Linked DNA regions of Xenopus tropicalis. The protein of the gene in region 1 purifies or fractionates together with the protein of each later gene. This does not show direct contact. Links are inferred from orthologs where the notes say so. Each region holds a gene or a part of one and is shown on either strand. Other genes may lie near its edges.

What was found. Proteins that work in one complex are often made in the same cells at the same time.
Region 2: the proteins of kiaa1522 (region 1) and wasf1 purify together in Homo sapiens (affinity purification with mass spectrometry; 3 studies listed by BioGRID and IntAct, with this or other methods). This does not show direct contact. The link is inferred for Xenopus tropicalis from reciprocal best matches to the Homo sapiens genes NHSL3 and WASF1.

Annotation. Positions count from the first base shown.
Region 1 is NC_030678.2:90,225,646-90,229,302, forward strand, and holds part of kiaa1522 (uncharacterized protein KIAA1522 homolog), read right to left. Parts: intron 3,334-3,657; coding exon 3,190-3,333; intron 3,095-3,189; coding exon 3,045-3,094; intron 2,341-3,044; coding exon 2,232-2,340; intron 1-2,231. UniProt on the Homo sapiens protein: Able to directly activate the TNF-NFkappaB signaling pathway.
Region 2 is NC_030681.2:77,469,104-77,472,760, reverse strand, and holds part of wasf1 (wiskott-Aldrich syndrome protein family member 1), read right to left. Parts: intron 3,510-3,657; 5' UTR 3,482-3,509; coding exon 3,349-3,481; intron 1,380-3,348; coding exon 1,245-1,379; intron 1-1,244.

The sequences.
Region 1 (3,657 bases):
AAGGTAAACAAAGGTCCAGGGCCGGATGGGATTCATCCCAGGGTATTAAATGAGCTGAGCGCTGTGATTGCCAAGCCTCTTCACATAATTTTTCAGGATTCGTTGAGGTTTGGCATGGTGCCGAGAGACTGGCGAATTGCTAATGTGGTGCCATTATTTAAAAAGGGATCTCGTTCTCAGCCTGAAAACTATAGGCCTGTAAGTCTGACATCAGTAGTAGGAAAGCTTCTGGAAGGGGTAATAAGGGATAGGATACTTGAATACATTGCAGTTCACAATACTATTAGTTTGTGCAGCATGGTTTTATGCGTAACAGATCTTGCCAGACTAATTTAGTTGCCTTTTATGAGGAGGTGAGCAGGAACCTTGATGCTGGAATGGCAGTTAATGTCATCTACTTAGATTTTGCTAAAGCGTTTGATACTGTACCTCACAGAAGGTTAATGATTGAGGAATATTGGCCTAGAACATAATATTTGTAATTGGATAGAGAACTGGCTGAAGGATAGAGTACAAAGAGTGGCCAGTGTGGTTAGTGGAGTACCGCAGGGGTCAGTCCTTGGTCCTTTGCTTTTTAACTTGTTTATTAATGACCTGGAGGTGGGCATAGAGAGTACTGTTTCTATTTTTGCTGATGACACTAAATTGTGCAAAACTATAAGTTCCATGCAGGATGCTGCCGCTTTGCAGAGCGATTTGACAAAATTGGAAAACTGGGCAGCAAACTGGAAAATGAGGTTCAATGTTGACAAGTGCAAAGTTATGCACTTTGGTAGAAATAATATAAACGCGAACTATCTACTGAATGGTAGTGTGTTGGGGGCATCCTTAATGGAGAAGGATCTAGGGGTTTTTGTAGATCACAAGTTGTCTAATTCCAGGCAGTGTCATTCTGTGGCTACTACAGCAAATAAAGTGCTGTCTTGTATAAAAAAGGGCATGAGAACAGGGATGAGAACATAATTTTGCCCCTTTATAGGTCCCTGGTAAGGCCTCACCTTGAGTATGAAGTGCAGTTTTGGGCTCCAGTCCTTAAGAAGGATATTAATGAGCTGGAGAGAGTGCAGAGACGTGCAACTAAACTGGTAAAGGGGATGGAAGATTTAAGCTATGAGGTTAGACTGTCGAGGTTGGGGTTGTTTTCTCTGGAAAAGAGGCGCTTGCGAGGGGACATGATTACTCTGTACAAGTACATTAGAGGGGATTATAGGCAGTTGGGGGATGTTCTTTTTTCCCATAAAAACAATCAGCGCACCAGAGGTCCCCCCTATAGATTAGAGGAACAGAGCTTCCATTTGAAGCAGCGTAGGTGGTTTTTCACGGTGAGGGCAGTGAGGCTGTGGAATGCCCTTCCTAGTGATGTGGTAATGGCAGATTCTGTTAATGCCTATAAGAGGGGCCTGGATGAGTTTTTGGACAAGCAGAATATCCAAGGCTATTGTGATACTAATATCTACAGTTAGTATTACTGGTTGTATATATAGTTTATGTATGCGAGTGTATAGATTGGTTAGTATAGGTTGTGTGCTGGGTTTACTCGGATGGGTTGAACTTGATGGACAATGGTCTTTTTTCAACCCTATGTAACTATGTAACTATCTTTACCCTTTGTACAAAATACTTCATAAAAGGAATGATTTCCCACAAAAAAGGAAAAGGAAGACTGCCGCAGGCCGCCAGTACAGCACTGCCTTACAGAACAAAAACGTTTTTTTTTCCCCCATGATGTGAAAGTTATAAATTCCTACAACTGTTTATACTACCTCTCCTACTTGTGTCAAAAGGAATCACATCATAATGCCCCCACAAGCAATTTAGATGTAAGTCTTAACTACAAAAATGCAACTAGGAGTTTTAATGTGGTGGGAAGGGTGCACTGAAAAAGGAAGGAGACAGTTTCATGTATAGTGGTATGCATACAGAAAAGTGACAATAACTTTTTTCTAAATTAAATCTATTTTTCGTAACACCATTATCTTAAACTAATTTACAAATGTTCTCAGGTTAAAACAAATAATTCTAATTTTTTTGTTTATGTAAGAAACTAGTGATGACTGGGAACAGGAGCAACAAAAATTGGTACCAAGCTTAGTTTTACAATAGGGCTTAGGGGTCTCTAGCTAGAACAATGGCTTCATGCATAACAGTTATGTCCTTTAAACACTGTTTCTCCACATTTTCCAATGTGCACTGATTTAGCCTATTCACAAATAATAACTCCACTGCCTTACCTTTGCGCTGAATCATTTCTGATCGAACAGTCATGGCATCGTCAGTGGTCTCAGTGGCACAGGATAGAGATCGTGTACGGAAGCCATTATCAGTACTGTCTGGTTGGGGCTGCAGAAAAGTGAAAAACATAAGCAGGAATTGGCCATTGCCATTTTGTGAGGGAGTAGATAATAAATACAGTAGTAAAGTATAAAGTTGGCCACAAAGAAGCTAACGTTTTCATGCAAATTAAAAGTTATTAACCGATTTGACAATTATCACTAAGTGTTGTCCAAAAACAAAGACTCTAGCATATCAAACACTAGCAGTTTGTCAGCCAAAATGGCAAATGAGGCTTAATAATTGCCCAGTAAATGTGTTCTCGTCTGCACACCTTCTTCTTTGATATTCACTTGGTCTCCTGTTGCCTGACTACCTGGCCAGGCATCAGCCATATGACTCAATGAATAAGTACAATTTGTGATTGGAATTATTAGGGTTATCCCCTGATACTTGATCCCCTGATACAATGCTTCTTCACAAACCAGTCTGTGGCTTTAACAATCAAAGGTGTTCCATTCCTGCTTTGTACTTATTAAGGCTGTTTAACACCCCTTCCCTCCATCTTACACAACAGTCTTAAGGCAGCAATACACAGGCCAATAAAGAAAAAAAATGACTGTGCTGTGTATGCAGGGTTATCAACCACAGATAGGGTAGGTAGCCACCTGACCAGTAATAACATTTGCATTAAGCATAATTTTTAATATGGAAAAATATACAAATATAGGAAGGCAGAATCCCTATTTCCAGACCTTTGGTGACTAACTTACCAAAGGGCTCTGGTTCTCCTCTTGGGGCTGATGCTTGTTCTGCTGCTTCTCTGAGAGAGGTAAAATAATTGATTATTGAGGAGGCATAAGCTGAAAACAATATATTAAAATAACGATCAATGCATGTGTATCCGCAAAAACATACCTCTTCTCTGAAGTGATTTAAGGCCCTCCTGAGCTTGGTTGTGAATCTCCTCCACAAGGGCTGTGCGTTTTCTAGGAAAGAAGCCATTGTCAAGAGGTTCCTCTGCTGGGCTTGGCTTGGGTTCCTTACTGGGCTTTGTTTGTTCTGGAGGATAAATAATCATAATTCACAGAGGTGACACTGCTATATATTATAGTATACATAATATTATATTAGCATTTTGCACATTGCCTTTCTCATAATAAATGACCCCTATGCTGATATAAGTAAAAAGGAACGTCAGGAAAAAGCACCTAAGCAGATCTTGAAACTTAAGAGGTTAAAGCAGGACGCTGCTGATATCGGTCGACTCGCTGATCGGCCAGGTCAAAAGATTTTGATTGGGCGCCATAGAAGGCGCCTGAGCAAAATCTGCCGTCAGGGCTGAATCGGCAGAAGGAGGTAGAAATCCTATTGTTTCTACCTCCT
Region 2 (3,657 bases), on another chromosome or scaffold:
AGTTTATTCAAATGAGTTTACCTTATTAATAAATAAATGACCATTCGATATGCCAGTTTATCTGATTATGAAAAACAAACTTGAATTCACAAATTTATCCAAGATTGATAAATAAGCCCACTAGAGTTATAAGCAAGGGTTATGCTACCCGAGACATCTATGGCCCACGGTGCTTTCATGCCATTCTCTTAGCAACCATAGCATACAAGCATGGTAACCCTTGCACCAGTATAGAATAAGGCAATTTTCTATTTAGGATTACCCAATAGCCCATAATACTAAACAAGTATATTTTTGTGAAAATTATTTATTTAGATGAAGCAGGGTTTACATATGAGCTTGTTTATGCAGTATATTTTATAGAGACCTACATTGTTTGGGGTTTTGCTTAATTTATTATGAACATCAACTGACCTGTAAAGCATTTATTTAATGTATGTATTCATAAACAAGCTGTGGTGAAACTTTTGGAAAATAAAAATAAAGTTTAAAAAAAGAATAGGATCAGGGGGCCTACAATCTAATGGGGTTAAGGGTACTTGAGGAACAAAAGCAATATGGAAACAAATTGGAAGTTAGCACAATGACATTCAGATTCAAATGTGATGAAATTACATGTTAATAAGCATTGATTTTCCTTCTTAGAATGCAATGATGTAGGCTGCCTGTCCCAACATTATGAACAACACATTGAAAATTTTTGTACAAGACACTTTAGAGATTTAATTTTTAGTGAGAAGTACTAAAGTATTTTACATGTTTAAAGCCACATTCATTGGAAGACTATTTAACGCAACAAAACTGGCCATACATGGGCCAAGTGAATATTAACCGATGAAACAATCTGCATTCCTTAATCAGAAAAGGTGTACAAATCATAATCTTATTTTACCTGACTACCATATACCCCAAGGAGTAATAGGGTCATTGTAATGTAAGCAGATAAGTTACATGGCATTAAGCAGGACAGGGCATTTTATCCACTATACATGGAATGGTACTGTAATGCTTTCCTTCATTGTAATATTAAATGCAATGGAATGTGGAACTCCACATGACCTATTTCATGCGCTGGCTACAGACAATAGCAACTGTTCAGCTGTGTCAGCTTGTCAATGAATTGCCTGTCCTTTTAACAAGTCATTTTTTTTATTACAGTGAAAATTTTCAAATATGCACAGGCAAGATATGAAGCAAAGAAAACAAAACAAACAATATTTTGTTAAAAGCCATAGAGAACTTACGTTCTTCCTCTTTTGGGTCAAGCTGTGTTACACTAACAGATAACCTGTCTACACGTTCTTGAAGAGAGTTAACTCGGAAGGAGAAACTGTGTGCCTCATTAAAAAGTTCACCAAATATATCTTCTGCATATTTACCTGAAACACAAGAACAATGCATTACACATCAACAGTTGCTTCAATATTGATACCACAGTTAGCATTCTCTAGAAATTGTTTTTTTGTTACTCGATAAATATTAACACTACCTTCTATTCATTTTCCTGTGTATATATACTGTTTATTGCTGGAAGAATCTTCTGTGCCTAAGATTCTAGAACTAGAGCCCTACATCTGGGGACCAAAGGTAAACAGAGAGGTAGGCTAATAAACACACTGGCAAACTAGACTGTTAATATAATTTGGTCAGTCAACTGATAAGTGTTACTGGTGTGACCAATTATTTCATCATTTGTTTCTACTATTTTTACTACTAAGTATGTTATGTTTCCAGTGTTGTAATTTTTTTTCCCTTTTTTGCTTTCTTTTCTGTACCATTTTCTAGATAATTAACAAAGTGTTAAATTGAAAGAAACCTTCAGACATTCAGCATTAAAATAGAAAATCAATGTTAACTGCAAAAACGCATAGTACATAAAACAACTTTTTCAGGCTCTGGCTGGTCCTTTCACAAACCAACCATTTTTTGGTAAAGTGCATGTTGGGTAACTGCTTCTTAGTATCCAACCCATCCCCCTTTCTTTACTTGTCTACTAAGTTTAGTGTACTTTTGCAGTTCGGTAGTTTGGAGTATGTTGTTACCCTTTTGAATTCAAGAGAATATGTACTTTCCAAAAATATATGGTTTTTTGAGATTTTTTTCTTTATGGTAAGGCGGCTTTACAACGCATAACATTATAACAAAGCTTAAGTTACCCAGGAAAATCTTTCTGTATTTCCATTTGGGGCCTCAACATTCCATATATATGGGAAACCCTGTGTTAGTTTTAGGATGTTTAATCATGGTAAATAAAGAAAAATACGGGCCATATGATGCTATAACCTGCATGCTTTAAAGGACATGGAAAGGCAAAGTCACTTGGGGGTGCCAAAATGTTAGGCACCCCCAAGTGACTTTAATCGCCTACCCTTTACCCCGGGCTGGTGCCCCTGTTGGGAGAGAACAGCACCAGCCCGGGGTACCTGCAGCGCTTCCTCCTTCCTGTATCGCCGCGCGCACATGCGCAGTAGAGTGAAAAGCCGAACTTTAACAGAGAAGTCGGCTTTTCACTCTACTGTGCATGCGCCTAACTCATAGTCACAGCTTAACGAAGCAGGAAGGAGGAAGCACATCGCCCAAAGTGCCCCGGGCTGGTGCTGTTTTCTCCTAACAGGGGTATAAGCCCGGGGTACAAGGTAAGCGATTAAAGTCACTTGGGGGTGCCTAACATTTTGGCACCCCCAAGTGACTTTGCCTTTCCTTGTCCTTTAAGGGGACTATATACCACATAATTAGCAGAAATGATAACCATGCATATGAACTATCATGGCTTTCATTTGATGCCTCCACATGCCACATACTTTGGTAAACATAAGCATGCATGTGGCACTAAAATGTTAATTCAGAAAACATTCATGGCACTGGCATTCCTATTTGGCATATTTAATGGCACTAATGATATGTAGGATATAAAGTGCAGTAAAGTAAAAGTTTCCAGAAATGTCACTGAAACCTAAGTTTAGGAATAATTTGCAGTTGAAAAACATTTGCAGCCATTTTGGATTCCAGAGAATAGGTCATTTCCAAAACTATATGGTTTTCTGGGATGAACTTTAGTTTTTGTTGCTGTAACTCCAAATAAAATGCATAAATGTGTTGATTTTGCAATAGCTGAAATGTAAGCCATGATAGTTCCTATGCGCTATTTTCATTTTGGGGCTTCATCTTGATATCTGGATGACATGTAGGGTATAATATCCCTAAAAGTGCAATGTATCAGTGATTTCTAAAAATTTTCAGAACTCTATGTGCATATATTTTATACAGAGCGACAACACAAATATGAGCATAAATACAAGATAAGAGCAGATTAACAACAAGCTCCTAAACATGTATAAAGCTACTTACTTAGACTACTTAACTGCCTAATTATATTGGCCAGTGAAATGTTAGTAACGCATTCCAGTTCATTCTTGATTCCTCTGGGAAGAGCAGTATGGCACAAGTGCCGAGGATCGATGTTTCTTTTAACCAGAGGCATTCTTTTTCAGAGCCGGGCACCAACACATCTGTAAAAGACAAAACAGGTTTTTAGCTCCCACTGTGAGATGGCAAGTATAAGCAGGTATTGCTGATTTTTATGTAGTATTAATGGCAATTATTGCACATTAGCCATGGATTTTCACCATATTTTGACAAGTCTGTATGTAAAGGTTA